Linked DNA regions of Sus scrofa. The protein of the gene in region 1 binds, or shares a complex with, the protein of each later gene. Links are inferred from orthologs where the notes say so. Each region holds a gene or a part of one and is shown in the gene's direction. Other genes may lie near its edges.

What was found.
Region 2: MED13 (region 1) and MED20 share a complex: the UniProt entries of both Homo sapiens proteins name them as parts of the mediator complex. The link is inferred for Sus scrofa from reciprocal best matches to the Homo sapiens genes MED13 and MED20.
Region 3: the proteins of MED13 (region 1) and MED12 are in contact, whole or in part, in a cryo-EM structure (PDB 8TQC), measured with the Homo sapiens proteins. The link is inferred for Sus scrofa from reciprocal best matches to the Homo sapiens genes MED13 and MED12. Residues at the interface, in NP_005112.2 of Homo sapiens: Ser157, Glu158, Thr336, Val337, Pro339, Gln340, Ser341, Gln343, Lys344, Trp345, Lys347, Phe348, Asp1186, Ile1189, Leu1190, Gln1193, Asp1194, Pro1332, Ile1333, Thr1335, Leu1337, Tyr1340, Asp1341, Tyr1342, Asp1343, Tyr1344, Leu1345, Val1346, Leu1347, Ser1348; in NP_005111.2 of Homo sapiens: Ala3, Phe4, Arg12, Pro13, Arg16, Leu86, Thr123, Thr127, Thr150, Pro152, Val153, Met154, Arg155, Phe242, Pro278, Leu281, Arg282, Arg356, Pro357, Phe360, Gly361, Cys364, Gln367, Thr368, Cys372, Pro407, Glu408, Phe413, Val417, Lys1526.
Region 4: MED13 (region 1) and MED16 share a complex: the UniProt entries of both Homo sapiens proteins name them as parts of the mediator complex. The link is inferred for Sus scrofa from reciprocal best matches to the Homo sapiens genes MED13 and MED16.
Region 5: the proteins of MED13 (region 1) and CDK8 are in contact, whole or in part, in a cryo-EM structure (PDB 8TQC), measured with the Homo sapiens proteins. The link is inferred for Sus scrofa from reciprocal best matches to the Homo sapiens genes MED13 and CDK8. Residues at the interface, in NP_005112.2 of Homo sapiens: Thr1616, Met1617, Asp1618, Arg1619, Lys1621, Val1622, Gly1623, Ile1624, Pro1625, Thr1626, Asp1627, Gly1628, Asp1629, Ser1630, Val1732, Lys1733, Thr1734, Leu1735, Thr1736, Gly1737, Phe1738; in NP_001251.1 of Homo sapiens: Leu9, Glu12, Arg13, Arg71, Lys74, His75, Pro76, Leu81, Gln82, Lys83, Val84, Tyr133, Asp137, His140, Tyr141, Met330, Gln331, Phe335, Leu336, Leu340, Pro341, Thr342, Ser343, Asp344.

The regions. Positions count from the first base shown.
Region 1 is NC_010454.4:36,332,605-36,336,547, forward strand, and holds the start of MED13 (mediator of RNA polymerase II transcription subunit 13), read left to right. Parts: upstream 1-1,136; 5' UTR 1,137-1,276; coding exon 1,277-1,342; intron 1,343-3,176; coding exon 3,177-3,411; intron 3,412-3,943. UniProt on the Homo sapiens protein: Component of the Mediator complex, a coactivator involved in the regulated transcription of nearly all RNA polymerase II-dependent genes.
Region 2 is NC_010449.5:37,071,340-37,075,535, reverse strand, and holds the start of MED20 (mediator of RNA polymerase II transcription subunit 20), read left to right. Parts: upstream 1-1,385; 5' UTR 1,386-1,515; coding exon 1,516-1,529; intron 1,530-4,196. UniProt on the Homo sapiens protein: Component of the Mediator complex, a coactivator involved in the regulated transcription of nearly all RNA polymerase II-dependent genes.
Region 3 is NC_010461.5:57,153,874-57,157,384, forward strand, and holds part of MED12 (mediator of RNA polymerase II transcription subunit 12), read left to right. Parts: coding exon 1-195; intron 196-560; coding exon 561-707; intron 708-865; coding exon 866-965; intron 966-1,090; coding exon 1,091-1,227; intron 1,228-1,448; coding exon 1,449-1,580; intron 1,581-2,164; coding exon 2,165-2,291; intron 2,292-2,745; coding exon 2,746-2,975; intron 2,976-3,511. UniProt on the Homo sapiens protein: Component of the Mediator complex, a coactivator involved in the regulated transcription of nearly all RNA polymerase II-dependent genes.
Region 4 is NC_010444.4:77,489,579-77,493,754, forward strand, and holds the start of MED16 (mediator of RNA polymerase II transcription subunit 16), read left to right. Parts: upstream 1-1,374; 5' UTR 1,375-1,518; intron 1,519-2,903; 5' UTR 2,904-2,948; coding exon 2,949-3,081; intron 3,082-3,640; coding exon 3,641-3,748; intron 3,749-4,006; coding exon 4,007-4,176. UniProt on the Homo sapiens protein: Component of the Mediator complex, a coactivator involved in the regulated transcription of nearly all RNA polymerase II-dependent genes.
Region 5 is NC_010453.5:4,155,439-4,158,729, forward strand, and holds part of CDK8 (cyclin-dependent kinase 8), read left to right. Parts: intron 1-1,357; coding exon 1,358-1,455; intron 1,456-2,517; coding exon 2,518-2,596; intron 2,597-2,720; coding exon 2,721-2,879; intron 2,880-3,291.

The DNA.
Region 1 (3,943 bases):
ACAGATGAGGAAACTGAGACAGAGAGGTAAGTGATTCTCTCAAGCTTCAAACCCAAGCAGTGGGGCTCTAACTCCCAGGCTGTTAGCCGCATGACTATATTGTTTCATTTACGTTTCGTTCGTAATATCACAACTTTCAAGCGGCTGAGTCCTATCGCAGATCTAACTCCCAGGCCCACGGGTTTGCGCTGCACCCCAGTGGCCTTGTAGAATAAAGGAGAAGATCTAGGAATTTTTGCAACACTTCTAAGGAATTCAAACGGATTTCAACGTAATTCCCAGATTTGTTATGTGAACCCTGTAAATTCCCCGGGAAGAAGTAAGATAGGGCCAGGGCCCTGGGTCATCTCACGGTGGCCGGGGCACCCAGCAGATGGCGCTATCTTAGTAGCCACCAGCTGGCTGCCCAGTCCCCCTGGGCTCACCGCCTCTGCTGAAAGCTTCCCGGCTCTCCTTCGCTCCCTTCTCTCTCCCCCTCCCCACGGAGCCCGGGCGCACGTGACCTCCAGGCGGCCAATGGGCGAGCAGAGAGGGCGAGCTGGTCCCTGTGGCCGCCATTAAAGCGAAGGGAAAACCCGTGAATTCGGATTAAAGGGGGAAAAACACCGCCCGCTGGGCCCACAAAATGGGGGAGACTACGGCGTCCCGGCGGTGAGGCCGCAGGAGAGCGGACGTTAGGCCGGCTTGGCCCAGGGACGACACGAAGACACAGCCAGAGAATGGTCTGAGCCCGCAGACGCCGCCACCACCTCCGCCACTGAGGAGACTCTGGGCTTAAGGACATCGCCGCTGCCGGGTCGGGGGCCTGGGCTTCTCTCCCGGTTCTCGCCCTTCCCGCCCCTCTGCGGGCGCCTCCCCGCCCGGGAGAGCCCTCCAGGGCCTGGGATCTGCCCTCTCGGACTCGATTTTAATTATTTATTGTGTAATTTATTATATTTTCTTGTGGCAGGGGCACACATCCCCTCTGTCCCCGAGAGGGACGGGCGTCCGCGGGCTCCGCGGCGGCCGCAGTCCGGCCCGCGGGGCGAGCGCGGCGCGGCCCTCCCGCCTCCGGCTCTCGGCCCCGGGCGGCTGGGTGCCGGCCGGGCGGCGGGGACTGCTCGCGGCGGCGGGGGGGTGGGTGGGGAGGGCGGGCGGCCCGGCGGCCTCCTCTTCCACCGCCCCCCAACCACCACCCCCCCGCCCTCCCCGGTGTCTGTGTTTCTCTCTCTGGTCGGAGGCGGCGGTAATGGCGGATGGTGGGTTGTGGCGCCGGCGACGGCTGCTGTGAGGGACGATGAGTTCCTCCTTCGTGCCGAACGGGGCCAGCCTGGAAGATTGTCACTGTAACCTCTTCTGCCTGGTGAGTGCGGGGCGGGGGCCACGGCGAGCGGGCGTTGGGGGAGGGGCCGCGAGGTGCGCCCTTGGGCCGTGGGGGAGGGGGTCCGGGTCGGTTCCAGATGCCGGAGTCCCCGGGCTAGGCCCAGCCGGAGCCGGAGCCGGCGCGGCGGCCAGCTCGGCACCAGCCCGGCGGCCGCGGTCCTCTCCGGCGGTCCCGGGCGCTGTGTTTCGAGTGTCGGCCCTTTTTCTCGTTTCTGACTCTTTTTCCCCCTCCTCTGGTAGTCTGGTCTTTAACTTGGGCTCCTTATCCGGCAGGACACTAGCCTTTCCCTCTGTTTCTTGCTTAACTGTTGCTCTCCTCCTCATGGACCGTGTATCCCTTCTTCACACTTACCCATTATTGCCCGTTCTCCTTCTGTCTCACTCTGCTCATCTGGTTTCCCCCCAAAAAGCGGACCCCGGAACTTAAGCACTCTTTTCGTTGTCCATTTTTTATTGTGAGTCAAACTATATAGGGGGGTTGGTTTCTTCCTTGCGCGACTTCAGGCTCTGTGTAAAAAGGAGTAGATGCCATTTCATATGTTTTTTCTTCAAACTTTGAAAACAACTTGCCATTTTGACAATTTTTAGCCATTTTGCTTTTATTAGAACATTATGTTTGTGAGAGTGGAGCGAACCAGAGGAGGAGGTGCTGTGGTTTTGCACTAAATATTTTTGTATTTGTCTAATTTGCCTTCGTTTTTAGCATATTTTGAGGGGGCTGTTCCTTTTTTTATTGGAAAGTCAGGGAAAGCTAGATTTAGGGATGATAATTGTGTACGTTGGCCCAGATCTGGGAACATCCAATAAAGACTTTCAAAAGTACCAACTGTTGCAAATATTTAGTTTTCAATTGGATAGTAACTTAGCTTCATCAGTGATTTAAAGTTTAGGTGACTTTCTTTTTTCATTTTCCCTATCCTATGAGAAATATTAAGAGAGTGTGTGATAGGTAAGTGAATTGAGTGGGCGGAGCACAACTAGTTGGCCAGTGTAAACTGCCAGTCATGTATCAGCAGTTTCATTTTTGGCACCTTGCGCTTTGCACCTTTAAGTTAGATTCAGAATTACAAGTTCGCTCTAATGAATTTCTTTTCACGATGCTAAACTGAGATCTTTAATTTTTATCTAAAAAATAAAATGTTTTCTTGTACAGTGTCCATTAATTTGCATCTCTTGAGCTGTAAGAAGACAGCGGGTTTTACATTTCTGTCTTCTCCAACTCAGTCTATTTTTGGTACTTTTAGGATCAGGTTCTTTGAAGATAAGACTAGCACAAATCTGACGGTTCTTTGTCAGCAGCTATTTGACTTTTCCTAAAAGGAATATGTAAAGATTTAACAAGATTTTTTTTTCAGTTGTAGTTCAGGTTTCTTTTCGTTAGAGCCATGACTTCTATAAACATGGAATGATGAGTCTTTAAAAATTAATTTTCTGTTATAAGTTTGTCACCAAGGAACAAATGTAACCAGTCAGAACAGAAGTTAGGACAGAGAGCAAATGTTTACTCAGTGTGCAATGTTAAAGTACATGTTTATGTTTAATATTAAGCTTCTTTTATTTCTCCTTGGGACACATTTATTGACTTGTTATTTAGTGACATGTCAGTGTTAATTTTTAAATTGTTTTTGTTCTTTTCCTTTGATTTTTGGTTATTGAATTATCAGAACTAATAAACATTTTTGGGGTCAATCTGCTTTCGATATCCTGAGCATACATTAAAAATTGTAATGACTTAATGAAGAGACTTTAAAGCAAGTGCTTTTGATTTTGAGTGAATATGCCCTAATAAAAAAATCATACTTTGTTTTCTTCAGGCTGACTTGACGGGAATTAAGTGGAAAAGATATGTATGGCAAGGCCCAACTTCTGCCCCTATTCTGTTTCCGGTGACAGAGGAAGACCCCATTTTGAGCAGTTTTAGTCGCTGCCTTAAGGCAGATGTGCTTGGTGTTTGGCGGCGAGATCAAAGACCTGGAAGAAGAGAATTGTGGATATTTTGGTGGGGTGAAGACCCCAATTTTGCTGACCTTATTCACCATGACTTGTCAGGTGAAAGCAACTTACATTTCTAACTAATGATGTAGCCATGTATACTCTTCCCAAAAACGTTTGTATTACAAATTAAGATTGAGGGGGGGTGGAACATTGTTGGGTATGAAACCAGATAAAATTTCAGCTTCATGTTTCATTTCACTGGTTATTTTATTTTACTCAGAATTATGCTTATTATGGCAGGCTTTTTAAGGCTTTAAAAACTTTATTCTTTATTCTTTTTAGCTTTCTCATGAATTTTTGGCAGACAGGGCCTAAGGAAGGCATGCTACATTAATTACCCTAAAAATGTAACCAGGGGAACATTACCTAACAAAGTCATAAAATACTTTTGAAGCCAAGTTTAATTCATCTTTGAGTCATTTCTGCCACTGCTTTCTTCTGTATGAATATGCAGACCGTTGTAGAAGTATCTAGAAGTGTTGTAATTTTCTCATATTTTTTTTTAGGCATATAGTAATTTTTTAAATTTGCAATTCTTAAAAAATTAACATATGAAGGCATTTGTTAATTTTGTTATCCTTGGAAA
Region 2 (4,196 bases), on another chromosome or scaffold:
AAAAACAAAAAACAGAGACAATAGTGCAACCTTGGGGCAGGTCCAGATTCCTCCTCAAGGAATATACATAGTATCTTTGAGCCCTTCTGCAGAACTATTACTTGATGAAGTATGAAGCATTCTTCAGTGGAAAAAAGGAGGACCACCAGAACCAGTCCTGGGGCCACTAAACAGGAGCGTGAGAAACCGTGCAAGTTTGCCTCGACCCTGGTCCTTAACTGCGGCTCTATTTTCCACTCTTACACTGTAAAACCATCTCCTAATCTCTCTCAAGGGGACCATAGTCTTTAGGGCACTAACCTGCTCTGGCCCTCCTTTGGCAGAGCAATAGAGATATCTTTTTCTTCTTCACCCAAAACCCTGTCTCTGTGCTTCAACTGGGCATCGGAGGACAGAGACAGAGTTTTGGCAACACTACCTGCCTCATATCCTAGCTCCCCTCCTCGCACCGGTTTCCTCCGTGCTACCTGAGATTCTGTCTCCCGGGCCTAGGTCCTAATTTTGCTCCAAATAAAACTTAACTCTCAACTTTTAGGTGAAGGTCTCCAGCCACCCTAAATCCGGCCAGGGCTGGGTCTCCCATTCCATTACCTTTGCTAGAGTGTAATACGCCCCCCTGGGTTTTTTTTTTTTTTTTTAATTCCAAACTATTATCCTGCCGGACACTTTTCAGCCTACCACTACCAACTACCCATCCTCTTTCTCGCACCCACTCTCGCTACTCACCCAGCCGCGTGGTGCGATCTTGAGGTGCCGCCGGCCTGTCCCCGGTCCCATGCTCAGCCTCGAGCTCCTCTTGCTGCTGCCGCGCTTGTTGCAAAATCCGTCGGGTCAGCCGAGGCCCCACGTACTCCTCCTCCTCTTCTCCGGTTCCGCGACCCCGCCGCTTTTCCCGGGTCCCCGCCCGCACCGCATTCCCAGCCAGGATTTGGTCGGCCAGGGGCGCATGCTTTTCCTGACCCTCGGCCCCGCGGGCGGCCTTGAGTTTGGGCATTTCGCTAGAAAACCTCGCCGGGAAGTTTCACATGTGGGGACAGAGGAAAAGCTCTGAGTGCGCCGGCGCAGGGAACTCCCCAGAGGCCAGACGGTGATTACAGCGCCCCCTGGTGTTCGGAGGCCGGACCTGCCACCATCCCCGCCCCACCCCCTGATAGAGCTCCTGAGTCCTGGAGCTGGACTCCCGAATAAACTCATTGCAATTAACATCGCCTTCTCTAAGCAGTGGCAGTCCAAGCCACGCTTTCTTAGCTTCATGAATCTAGGCCCGGGGTGATTTGTCGAATAGGAAGTCCCCGAGCTGCAAGCCTAGGGGGCGGAGCCCTGCAGTGACGTCACTGGAGGCGCCTGTACGCCCCGTTCCTCGTGGCCGCCGAAGGGACTCGCACTTTTTACGTTATTTCCGGAGCACCTCCTACTACCGAAGCTTTCGTTAGGTCGGTGGTTTCACCTCGCGTGGGCTGCAGCAGAGCACTGCGTATCAGCTGTTCAGTACTGTCATCTTCCTGGCCTAACATCATGGGAGTGACTTGGTAGGACTTCAAGGGATTTCGTGGGGCGAAGCTTGGGGTGGTGAAGGGCCGGTGGAGCCTCCAGTGTCCCCGAGAGGAGGATCGGGATCAGGGTCTGAGAGAGATGCCCTCGAGTTGTGTGGGTGAGGGGACCACTGTGAGGGCTGCGAAATCTGCGGGCCTTTTTCCTCGGAGATGCGCCCCTTCTTTCTCAAAGGTGGCAGGTTAAAAATTTTTATCTTAAGAATCCACCAGTGGTCGCGTACCTCCTTCCGTTTTTCTTGGTATATTCTTCCTGCTCGTCATCCCACAGTACTGCCTGGGGTCGGAAATAGTATGTCGGGTTTAGGACCCATCTGCAGTCAAGGTTGGATGGGTTGTGGGGAGGGAGATAGACAACATTGAAGGCAGTATCTTTTTTAGGTTTTTGCCCTTCCCTATGGCCACTAAATGCAGTTAGACCAGCCTGTGTCTAGTTCTAATTTGGCCATTTTAAGATCTCGGGTCTAGAGGGGGAAAAAAAGAAGCTATTGGGAGTTAGGAGATTGGGATGTTAGGCACATCACCTCCTCAGAACCTGTTTCCTACTATGTTTAATTACATGCTTGGTTTAGTTTCTGTGGACTTAATATCTGTAACGTGTTATGAGTCAGAGTGCAGGGAAATATGGGCCTCATGCTCTTGGAGGCATTAGTTCCAAAATGCTAGATTTCAGGGCTTAAAAGAAAAAAAAAAAAAAAGGTATCTGGAGCATCTTTCCAATCAGAGAGGGCTAGAGGCCAGGGTATCAGGAGTCAGTGGCTATAGAGTCTTCATATAAGAAAAGAGCCTGTGGGAATTCTTCCTCCCAGTCACCCAAGTCTTGCACACTTGTCAGTGACTGCACATTTGCTTCCTGCAGTTGACATCATGAGCCTCTTTGGAAGTCTTTTAGTGTAAGGAGGATGTGAAGAATGGAGATGAAAAGTTTCCTCCGCAGAGGCATGGAATCCTGGAAGCCCCTGTTGTTTTTTTCTTTTCTTTTTTAAATTAAAATATAGTTGATTTACAACATTGTGTCAGTTTCTGCTGTGAGGCCCCTGTTGTTGTTTTTGTTTTTGTTTTTGTTTTCTTTTTTCTTTTTTTCTTTTTAGGGCTGTTCCTACAGCTTTTTTTTTTTCTTCTTCTTTTTTTCTTTTTAGGGCCGTTCCTGTGTCACATGGAAGTTCCCAGGCTAGAGGTTGAATCAGAGCTGTGGCTGCCAGCCTGTGCCACAGCAATGCCAGATCCGAGCTGCATCTGCAACCTACACTACAGCTCATGGCACCGCCAGATCCTTAACCCACTGAGCGAGGCTAGGTGATCGAACCCATATCCTCATGGATACTGGTCACATTCTTAACCCGCTGAGCCACGAGCAGAACTCCGAAGCCCCTGTTCCTTCAGTGCAGAAGGCAGACAGAGGGAAAAGGCCCTCTGTTGGGACCCTTCTCGACTTTTCAGATTCCTAGTACTTTGGACCCCAGTTGTATCATCTAAGGGATTCTCTTATTTTTCAAAATAAAGGCCATCATCATTGTGGCTTGTTAGTGCTCTTCCTGATGGAGATTACTGACAATTTGTAGCAACAGCAGGGGTCTGTTTTTATATTTTCCTTTAGTTGATCATAATTGGTCATAAAGTAATGCAGTACCTCCCAAAATTCAGCCACATAATGATTGTCTTTATGATTTTTATATAACTTCATAGCACTTGAACTATTTATTTTTTTTTAATTTTTTTTTTCTTTTTGCCATTTCTTGGGCCGCTCCCGCAGCATATGGAGGTTCCCAGGCTAGGGGTCTAATCAGATCTGTAGCCGCTGGCCTACGCCACAGCTCACGGCAACACAGGATCCTTAACCCACTGAGCAAGGGCAGGGATCGAACCCACAACCTCATGGTTCCTAGTCGGATTCGTTAACCACTGCGCCACGACAGGAACTCCTAATGCTTTCTTTTGATTCTGTTTTTTTCCTTATAAGTATTTTAACAGACAACTGTATCCTTAGGAAAGCATTCTTTTTTTTTTTTTTCCTCTTTCAGCTGCACTCGAGGCATATGGAAGTTCCCAGGCCAGGGACTGAATCTGAGTCACAGCTGTAAGCTGTGCCACAAATGTGGGAATGTCAGTTCCTTAACCCACTGCCCCAGGGCAGTATCAAACCCATGCCGTCACAGAGACAATGCTGATCCTTAACCACAGTGGGAACTTGGAAAGCTTTCGGTGGAGCATTTAAGAGCATGGACACGGAGCCACCTCACTTGACTACACTGCATTAAGCAGTATGACCTTGTGCCAGTTACTCAACCTCTCTGTTCAGTAGTTTTCTCATTTGTAATGAAGAAATGATTATGCTGTGTCTTATAGGGCTGATGCAAGTTAATTCATCTAAAGGCTTTGGGCACTGCCTGGCTCATAGTTGGTGCTTGGTAATTATTACCTACCACTTAAAGTAGAAGCCAGTTGCACTCTCCATAGAAGGAAATCTTGGAAATAACTTTTTATCTCATTGTTTTGGCTAAATTCTTGTTGCCTCTCACTCTCAAAGATTAGAAACTTGAGGCTTGCTTTCTCTTTGATCCAAGGATCCTTAGAACTTTCTTCATTGATGAAAATGTTCTATGTCACTGTCCGGTACACCAGTTCCTAGCCACTTGTGGCTATTGA
Region 3 (3,511 bases), on another chromosome or scaffold:
CGGAGACTGGCCCTGCAGCTGGATGGTGTGAGCAGTCACTCGTCTCATGTGATGTCTGCTCAGTCAACAAGCACACTACCCACCACCCCTGCTCCTCAGCCCCCAACTAGCAGCACACCCTCTACACCCTTTAGTGACCTGCTTATGTGTCCTCAGCACCGACCCCTGGTTTTTGGCCTCAGCTGTATCCTTCAGGTAGGTACTCGGTGGGCCTATGGAAGTATTAAGAGACCTCTTGAGAAGAATTAGGTGCCTGTCCTGGAAAATAGGGGGATTCTAAATTGGAGGTGAGAGTAGGCACTGAGTACTTGCTTGGAAATTGTTGGCTGCTCATTCATGGGGCGATAGTTCCTTTTCAGGTAGTTCCCTTCCAGGTCTACATAGTAGGCCCAAAGCCTTTGGAGGAGAGTGGATGAGGGGAGGGGCTCAGAGATGGAGTGATGCCACCCTAGGGACTCAGAATAACTTTGGATTGGAAATCGAAGCATTGGGTCTTATGATGGGCTTCTGGAAAGGTAGCCATGGTAACCGAGTTTGACTTAGCTGTTCCTGTCTGGCAGACCATCCTCCTGTGTTGTCCTAGTGCCCTGGTTTGGCACTACTCGCTGACTGATAGCCGAATCAAGACTGGCTCACCACTCGATCACCTGCCTATTGCCCCCTCCAACCTGCCCATGCCAGAGGGCAACAGTGCCTTCACTCAGCAGGTAAGTTGGACCAGTAGCCTGCTTACCGCAGGTTTGGATATAGAGGCTGAAGTTACTCTTTCAGAACTAGTGACTTGGAGCCTACTACTATGCTTTTAGCCTGGAGCCCTAGCCTTTTTGTATGCTTTGCTCCATCCTTAAAACCTTCCTTTTGGCAGGTCCGTGCAAAGTTGCGGGAGATCGAGCAGCAGATCAAGGAGCGAGGACAGGCCGTTGAGGTTCGCTGGTCTTTTGATAAGTGCCAGGAAGCTACTGCAGGTGGGTGCCAGAGGACAGGCAGTAAGAAGGGTGTTTGAGGAAAGGGTGGGGATGGTAATGACATATAGATCTGAGAGTCAGAGTAAGCCTCTGGTTAAGTCCCCTTTACCGCTTTTCCTCTTTAGGCTTCACCATTGGACGGGTGCTCCATACTTTGGAAGTGCTGGACAGCCATAGTTTTGAGCGCTCTGACTTCAGCAACTCTCTTGACTCCCTCTGTAACCGAATTTTTGGATTGGGGCCCAGCAAGGATGGACACGAGGTAATAAGCAAGACGGGGAAGAGGAGGGAAAAACAGCAAGAGCACCAGTACATTTGACGGGAAGGAGGGGTGAGGCACTAAAACTAGAGGATGTCTGAAGAGACAGATGGTCTTACTGGGCCTAGAATGTTTTAAGATGGGGCCCAATCGCTGGGAAATTGGAACTCAGTTTTTTGTCCCCAACTCTGCCTTACTCACCTCCGTCTTCCTTTGGTCTCCAGATCTCCTCAGATGATGATGCTGTGGTATCATTACTGTGTGAATGGGCTGTCAGCTGCAAGCGTTCTGGTCGGCATCGCGCTATGGTGGTAGCCAAGCTGCTGGAGAAGAGACAGGCAGAGATCGAGGCTGAGGTTAGGGGGCCCGGCAGGGAGTGGCAGCTGGGCCTGGAGCCAGATTGAGCTGATAGTGGGACCAATGTTGAAGGTGTGAGAGTAAGAAGTGGTTAGAGAACGTACAGGGAAAGTGGAGGACATGAGGCAAAAATAGAAATGAGTGGATCAGTGTCAGAGTTAGAGAAGTGATCAAGGCTGCAGTTGGAGGCGCTAAAGAAAATAGGAGTCAAGGAGTTCTCATCGTGGCTCAGTGCTAAGGCACCCGACTCGTGTCCATGAGGACTTGGGTTCCATCCCTGGCCTCACTCAGTGGGTTAAGAATCTGGCGTTGCCGTGAGCTGTGGTGTGGGTCACAGACACGGCTTGGATCCTGCGTTGCTGTGGCTGTGGTGTGGGCTGGCGGCTACAGCTCCGATTAGATGCCTAGCCTGGAAACCTCCATATGCCACAGGTGTAGCCCTAAAAAGACTAAAAACAAAGAAAGAAAAGAAAATGGGAGTCAACAGGGGGACGTGGAGATAGGCAGTTGTTCAAGGATTGTACGTGGATGAGTGAAGAAACAGATAAAACCCAGCCCTATGGTTTGTCCTCTCATTTTATAGCGTTGTGGAGAATCAGAAGCCGCAGATGAGAAGGGTTCCATTGCCTCTGGCTCCCTTTCTGCACCCAGTGCTCCCATTTTCCAGGATGTCCTCCTGCAGTTTCTGGACACACAGGCTCCCATGCTGAGTATGGACCCCTGCTACTTTCTGGTTACCTCTGCCTAGACTCCCTTACCCACCCCTGTCATCAGAAAGCATAATGAAAGGCCTTCTGAGATATAATCTTAGCTTGAGCTCTATGCAGAATGTCTTTGGACATAATTCTAGTCTTTGATCATCTTACAGTTTAACAGAGTAGAGAAATAAAGAGTAGAATAAAAACAAGTGCTTAGGATCGGAGCGTTTTCATGTATAAATAGCAGAAATGCTGTGTTCCTTTATTAGATGGGGGGGCAGGAGGTAGGATAACCAAGCATACTTTGTCCCTCAACAGTTTGGGGGGCGTTGGGGGGTTTTGAGTCATTCCTATTCCTGCCTATTTCAGGTACCCTAGGAGCATCTTACCTTAGATGTGTCCCTCTCGCTTTCTGCCCATGTCTTCCATGCTCCCTTACTCATCTTTTCTCATTCCCTCCCTCCAGCGGACCCCCGAAGTGAGAGTGAGCGGGTGGAATTCTTTAACTTGGTACTGCTCTTCTGTGAACTGATTCGACACGATGTTTTCTCCCACAACATGTACACTTGCACCCTCATCTCCCGAGGGGACCTTGCCTTTGGAGCCCCTGGTCCCCGGCCTCCCTCTCCCTTTGATGACCCTGCTGATGACCCTGAGCGCAAGGAGGCTGAGGGCAGCAGCAGCAGCAAGCTGGAGGTGAGCTGGCTTTTCCTCACCCTAGATTGTTTCTTCCTGTACAGTCCCCTCTTCCTGGCTCCTGAAGTAATCTGAGGATCCTTTACCCAGTGATGAGGGTAGGATTTGCTTAGCGCTTCATAGTTTATTTACCAAGCACTCTCACATCATTTTATTATTATTATTATTATTATTTGATCCTCACAACTGCCTCGTTGAGGTATTGTTATCATTTTTTTGTCTTTTTTTTTTTTAGGGCCACACCCAAAGCATACGGAGGTTCCCAGGCTAGGGGTCAAATCAGAGCTACAGCTGCTGGCCTAGGCCACAGCCACAGCACCACGGGATCCAAGCTGCGTCTGTGACCTACACCACAGCTCATGGCAACACTGGATCCTTAACCCACCAAGCAAGGCCAGGGATCGAACCTGCATCCTTATGGATACTAGCTGGGTTTGTTACTGCTGAGCTACAACGGGAACTCCTGTTATTCTCATTTTAAAGCTGAATGAGTAAATCAACTGTAATGGAAAAAATAAAAATCATAAAATAAAAAA
Region 4 (4,176 bases), on another chromosome or scaffold:
CCAGCCTCTGCCTACATCTTTATGCGGCCTCCTACCAGTGTCTTTAAATTGTGTCACCCTGGGTTATCTGCTTTTATCCTGATTGCCCTTCTCACCTGGCCCCAATCAGGGGTCCCTGCTGTCCACAGGGCTCCTCACTGTTGAACCTCACCCTGATCTCCATTTCCCTGAAGATGGATTATCTGCCTCAATTACTGGGAATCCTGCAGGTGACATTTGTCTCTTTCCCCCTGTGTATTTATTTATTTAACTGTTTATATCAGTACAGACGCCTGGACATTCGCTTTCTTGTTTGGGTTACAACACAATATCCTTTCATTTTGTTGCTCAGATTGTTCCAGGTTTGGATACTGGGAGCTCTTTCAGTGATTCCTGTCTCACTGAGGCGGGGTATTTATTTATTTGAGCACCGGGCTCCTCTGCATATTTGTGCTGCCTTCTAGAACCAGGCATTTCGCCCAGGAGCCCAGTTCCTTTCACTGGGGCAACGTTTAGAAACCAAGAACTGGGTGCTAAGTGTGCTGAGTTCCATTTTAACAGGCATTTTAAAAAGTTTTAAACACAGATGCTAAATAATGGAAATCCAAATGGCTCAGAGGACATCAGGAGATACTGGATTAACCAGCTTGGAGGCTCCCACCTGTGAAGGGGACCGAATTTCTGGTGCCTGGAGGCCAGTCTGGACTTCAGGGCGCGGGTGTGGTGGCTCTAGGGGACTCCACAGGCCTCCTGCACTGACACACAGACTCGGTCCTGCGGCTGCCCCTAGCTGGCTGTTTTCTTCCCACTCCGATTCCCTGAGCCCGGCCCCCATACCTTTGCCCAGGCGCTAACTGCAGCCCAGTACACCTTCCCCGAAATATCAGGAGGTCTTCCTAGAAAAGACTTTCCCAACTGGGGAGAGCCCGACAGAAAAAGAACCAGCTTTTGATAGCGGGAGACGAGTGAATCCAGAGAAGCCCACGACTGGTTAAGCCGTCTTGCTTACGGGGAAAAGAAGCAAGGAAAAGCAAAATATGGAACGCTTCACGAATTTGCGTGTCATCCTTGCGCAGGGGCCATGCTAATCTTCTCTGTATCGTTCCAATTTTAGTATATGTGCTGCCGAAGCGAGCACGACACCGGGGTTAACCCGACCGCTATTTATAGGGCGGAGTATAAAATACTTTACGCTAAGGGTGAATTCCGTTTAGAAGAAAAATACTCAGTAACTTGTCTCTTCTTTTCTGATATCAGTGCAACAATAGCTTAACAGAATGAGGCTACTCACTGAAGTTGAGAAAGTGTTCTTTCACGAAATATAATTCGGGTGGCTGTTGGGAAACTATCAATGTATGTATGCAAATTATATCGGTAGTGGGGCGGGGCCGGAGCCGCTGCTGTCCCAGAAGTCTCCGGGAAACGGCCGCGCTACGTGGGCGACTCGTTGATCCGGGGAAGATGGCGGTGCCGTAGCCGCGCCGATAGGTGGAGTGCAGGCCGTGGCCGTCCGCTCGGCTGGGAGAACAGGCCGTCCCGGTGAGCGGGGACTGGGGACTTGGGCGTTGGGCCGGCCTCAGGACGGTGCCTACGGCCGCGGCGGCGACTAGCGGGCCGGGGGCGGGGCCTGTAGGGTTAGAGGGCGGGCCTGGAGAGCAAGGGGTGCTGGGTACGCGCCCGGGAGCACGTTGGGCGGGGGGGGGGGGTCGCGACGGAAACTTGGGGGAAAGTCTGAGGCGTCTGGGAATCCGGGCACTCCGAGCTGGGGAAAATCGGGGCTGGGCCTGGAACCTGATCAGGGGTTGGGAGGTCTAAGGCTGTATTTTCCTGGGGAGGGGCCTGGGGATTCTGGTGGGCTGGAAGGCGGCCACTGGAGACCAGCACCTGGCTATTGGGTAGTGGTCCCTGGGGTGGAGCCTGAAGTGGCAAAAAGAGGCGGGACTTGGAGGGTTGGGAATTTGGAGGTGGTTATAGGGAGGCGAGTTGTTTGGGAGACCCTGGGGAGAGAACAAATTTAAGCTATCCCTGGGAACACAAGGGGCAAATTGGGACTGGGGTCTGGAAAGCAAATATTGTAGGGGGCGGGGCTGGAGAGCTTTGAGGGCAGAGCTTAAAGACTGCTGAAGGGGCCTCTGGGCAGGGCCTTGGGGTTCCTGGCCAAGGCTTGAGGAAGCGGGAGGCCTGGGGGAAGTGATTGAGAAAGATGGGTTGGTCATACAGTCTCATTGGGTTCTGGTAACGGTGAAAATAACCGTAATCAATGCCCGGCACATAGACAGCAGGTGGAAATGTTCATTGTTTCCGTTGCGGTTGTTACCTTTGAAGTGCTGCACCAAGCTGCTGCCTGCCCCCCATCCTGCCTCCTTGCCTCTGCCAAAGGCTTCTCTAAGGATAGAGCAGTCCCACCTCTCCTCACTGCTTCATGGTCCCCATCATTGTTCACCTGGACTGGCATGGTCACCCCCACCCTGTCCCTAAGCCTTTCTCTCCAGACAGCCAGAGGGGTGTGTGAAACATAAGAAGGTCTCAGCTCCCCTGGGGCTCCCACCTCACTCAGGGTGAAAGCGCAGGCCCTGCATGACCCACCCCACCCTCACTTTACCCCTCCCTTCCTCTCACTCAGTTCCAGCAACATGGGCCCCCTGCCGCTCCTTGATGACCCTGGGCTTGGTCCAGCTTCTGGGCCTTTGCACTGGCTGTTCCCCCTGCCTGGGATATCCTTCCTCCAGGCTGCATTCCTGGATCCCTCACTTCTACGCTGGGAGGCCTCCCTGGCCATCCATGTGTCAGATATAGCTCCCCTGACATACACAGAGCAGGGATTGAGTCTTTGGGTCCCTGCAGTGACCCACCATCCAGCACTGCGCTCTGGGCCCTGAGGCCCTGCATGAACGTCTGTGACAAACTGGTCCTCCCTCCCTCAGAAGCTGGTGACCGCCCTCTGTGTATGACCTTGGCAGCCGGGCACCATGGACCTGGCGTACGTCTGTGAGTGGGAGAAATGGCCCAAGAGCACGCACTGCCCTTCGGTGCCCCTGGCCTGTGCCTGGTCCTGCCGCAACCTCATCGCCTTTACCACGGATCTCCGAAACGACGACCAGGGTGCGCCCCCTCCTGCCCCCCGCATGGGCTCGTGCCCCAGTGCCCATGGACCTCCAGGCCTGTCCAGTCTCTCAGGGTTCCCTCATGTGTGATGAGGGGTGGTGAGGGCCCAGAGGGCACCTGGCACCAGGGGGCACTGGAATCACCCCCAGGGGATGGACCTGTCCAGATGAGGGTGGTCCCCAGCCCCTGCTGAGGCTCCTGCCTGAGTTTTCCAGACCTTATATGTCACTGCTTGGCTTCTGAAAGCCTCTGAGCTGCAGCCTGCCTGCTGGGCCTGTGTTCTCGCTATTGTTGAATGACACATGCTCCTAGAGGAAAGGAGAAAAACACAGACATTTTGGATGAGGGGAAGAAAAAAAGGCATTACCTTCCCCAGAGAGCCACTCTCTGTTAGCATTTTGGGTTTGTTTTTTTCCAGTTCCATTTTCTATGTCTCTTTTGAAAGTGGTTGTAGCCTCTCTGGAGGCAGAGTCATGGACCTGCTCCCATTACCCCTGGGGTCATCAGGCACTCGAGGCCCTGCCATTGTTGCCGCTGACCTGGCCCTCCTTTGCAGACCTGACCCGCATGATCCACATCCTGGATACGGAGCACCCCTGGGACGTGCACTCCATCAACTCGGAGCACAGCGAGGCCATCACCTGCCTCGAGTGGGACCAGTCAGGTGAGGGTGGGGCTCACCCTTGATCTCAAATCCCAAGCTTACTTGTTCTGTCTTTTCCTGGTCATGTCCCCACTGTCCAGAACTAGGATGAAAGCCCTGGCCTTGTGGCTTTTCGGCTCCTTCTCCTCCCATTTTTGGTGACCAGAGTCGTTCCTGGGAGACATGTGTGCCATGCCCCTGCTTGTCTCCCATCCCAGGCCCCAGATGTACTGGGGGGGGTGCTTTGTGACACAGGCTTGCCCCCCTCTTCCCCTGCAGGCTCCCGGCTGCTGTCGGCCGATGCTGATGGGCAGATCAAGTGCTGGACCATGGCAGACCACCTGGCCAACAGCTGGGAGAGCCCAGTGGGCAGCCTGGTGGAGGGGGACCCCATCGTGGCCTTGTCCTGGCTGCACAATGGTGTGAAGCTGGCCCTGCACGTGGAAAAG
Region 5 (3,291 bases), on another chromosome or scaffold:
CAGTCACCTGGGCAACGCTGCAAGTGCAGGTGCTTGGCTCCTGCCCAGATGTGCTGCTCAGCAGCTCCGGAGTCACTAGGAAGTGCTCCGGGGACGCCTCCGATGTGCTTCAAGTCTGAAAGTGCTGCGTGTTAGGCCAGAGGTGGTGGGCTGAGGGCGCACCTGTTAGAGGGCCTCTTAAGTCACACGTTAAAGGCTCTCGTTCCTAGAATCCTCAGTCCCTCATATTTCAACGAAAAAGTGCTGAATTTTGACATTAGTTTCACCTTTCGGTATCTCATTACAACAACAGTAATAATACCAACACCTAGAGAGCGCGTTCCCCACGCCTGGCACCACTGTAATTGCTTTTCGTCATTCTGAAAAGAAACATGATAAAAGGTACTGTTTCTAAGCTCCATTTGGCAAATGGGGTTACAGAGGGCTTAAGTAATTTGTTCACAGTCACCCGACTCATAAATGTCAGGTCAGGATTTGAGGCCAAGCAGCGTCTCTGCAGAGTCCCCGCCGATAGCACCTGGCCTTGCTGCACAGGTTCTGTACCGGGTGCCGTGTTTACATAGCCCCGGGCGGCAGTGCCAGAGATGGCTGTCTGAGAGCCGTGCTGTTGGGAGGGTAGCCGCTGAGCTCTGGAAATACACCTGATATGACTGAGAAATTGACTTTTTTTTTTTTTTTTTAATTAAGAAAAAAATTTTTTTCTAGGGCCACAACTGCGGCTTATGGAAGTTCCCAGGCTAGGGGTTGAATAAGAGCTGTAGCCGCCGGCCTCCACCACAGCCACATCATCTCGGGATCCGAGCTGCGTCTGCGACCTACACCACAGCTCACGGCAACGCCGGATCCTTCACCCACTGAGCAAGGCCAGGGATTGAACCTGTGTCCTTATGGCTACTAGTTGGGTTTGTTTCCACTGCGCCACATGGGAACTCTGAAAAATTGACTTTTTAAATTTAACTTGGTTTTAATTAATTTGGTTTTAACTCTAAATAGCCACATGTAGCTAGTTTATTCTTTGGGGTATAATGTTTTCCCCTTAGTAGAAAACACAGGCATTTTGGTCCTGTTCTAAATTGGACGTGGCAGTTCAGATGGTGTAGGAAAAAGGTCTTGGTTGAGAGTAAGAAGACGTATGTTTAGTTACTTCTTATAGGAGAACCGGGTGAGCTGATGATTATTAAAATGACTCGTGTGAATGACTACATGAAATTGAAAGGTTTTTAGTTTTTAACTGGGGGGAATGAAACCCTCTGAACTGTGGTGTTATTGATCAAAAACCGTGTACCTCCCACAAATGTGCCAAAAGGTAAAACTTTGAGAAGTAATGCAGTGATGTTTTTATGATTTATGGTTTCAGCTTCAGAAATTGCTTACCATGGACCCAATAAAGCGAATTACCTCAGAACAGGCTATGCAGGATCCCTATTTCTTAGAAGACCCACTTCCTACATCAGAGTAAGTGATCAGTTTATTAACTCACCAGCACAATAGAATTTTTTGGTGCGTGCTTTTTTTTTTTTTCTTTTTTAAAGCCACTTCTGTGGCATATGAAAATTCCTGGGCCCAGGCTCAAACCCATGCCACAGCAGCGCGGGCACTGCATCCTCAGCCCACTGTGCCGCCAGGGAGCTAGCTCTTGGTGCGTGCTTTTTTTTAGCTGTCAATGCCAGGTTGCTGCTGCTCTTGTTCGGGGACTCAAAGAAATCCTTATGACAAGCAGAAAACGAGCTGGTGACTGAGAGCCGTCAGGCTTTTACAGCGGAGAGACGCTGCTGCCCTGCTTGCTGCCCGCGGCCGGTGGCGGCGGTAGTCGAGGGCGGGCTGCTCCCACGCACTGGCACTCCCTGGGGCTCTGAGCCGGCGCACTGCTTGCACTTAGTTCTGTGTCCCAGTTGCAAGCCCCACCCCAAAGAAGTGTGTGGTCCCCATACATTCCTTCTTTTTTTTTTTTTTTTTTTCCGTCTTTTTGCCTTTTCTAGGGCCGCACCTGCAGCATACGGAAGTTCCCAGGCTAGGGGTCCAGTCGGAGCTGTAGCTGCCAGCCTGCACCACAGCCACAGCAACATGGGATCCGAGCCACATCTGCAACCTACACCACAGCTCACAGCAACGCCAGATCCTTAACCCACTGAGCGAGGCCGGGGATTGAACCCGTGTCCTCATGGATCCTAGTCGGGGTGGTTAACCACCGAGCCACGGTGGGATCTCCCATTTCGTGCATTTTGGATGCAGTCTGGAGGGTAGAATGCAGTTTTGTTGAGTCATGACATTCCAGCTGCGATCTCTGCCTTGGTTGTGGTGCTGAAGGAGCAGTGCCGACATAAAGGAGAGCCGAGGCCCTTTGGATGGTGCCTGGGGGTGCCGGTGCTTTTGTTCAGTCACTGGTTGGGAGAAGACACGCACTGCCTCGCGGCTGCACCGGCAGGGAGGCGGAGGCTGTCTGAACGGTGAAAGCGCGTTTGAGACGCTGATCAGCGCGCCGGAAATCGTTGTTGTCTCTTCTCTTTCCTGGGTCAGCGTTTTTGCCGGTTGTCAGATCCCGTACCCTAAAAGAGAGTTTTTAACGGAGGAAGAGCCCGAGGACAAAGGAGACAAAGTAAGTGTCAGGGTGCGGGGCGGCTTCGTGCGTTTCTGCTGGGGTGCCGCCTGCCTTCTGCGGCCGCGGCCGCGGTTTGCTCCCCTCTGAGTTGCTCTCTCTCTTTCCGTTTCACCAAATTGAGAAGAACCAGCAGCAGCAGCAGGGCAATAACCACACTAATGGGACTGGCCACCCCGGGAACCAGGACAGCAGCCACACGCAGGGCCCCCCGTTGAAGAAAGTGCGGGTTGTTCCTCCTACCACTACCTCAGGCGGACTCATCATGACCTCAGACTATCAGGTACGGCCGCCCGCAGCCCTGCATGGGGGTGGTGGCCCCGGGGCCGCGGCGGCAGGAGCACAGCGCCAGCCTCTGCTGCTCGGGAGACGTTGGCCTGGGGGGTTGCTGGCCTGCAAAGCGCCAGGCGGTTCTGTCGAGGAGGCTTAGCCAGGCGTGGAACGGTCGGACCGAACGGCGCCCCTGTTAACCCGGTGGCCTCGGTCAGGTCCTAGACAGGGCCTGGCTTTGGCGTCTCCTCCGGAGCACGAGCCGCGGGAAGCCACGTGGGGGCGGGTGGGCCTCAGCGCCCAGCGTCCAGGAGGTGCCCAGGAAGTGCCGTCTGTCGTCTGAAACCACGGCAGCTAGGGACGCGGTTAGGCCTGTGGGCAGCCTTGAGTGGGAGGCTGGGGCCCTCGGCTCCCGCGTTGGTAGG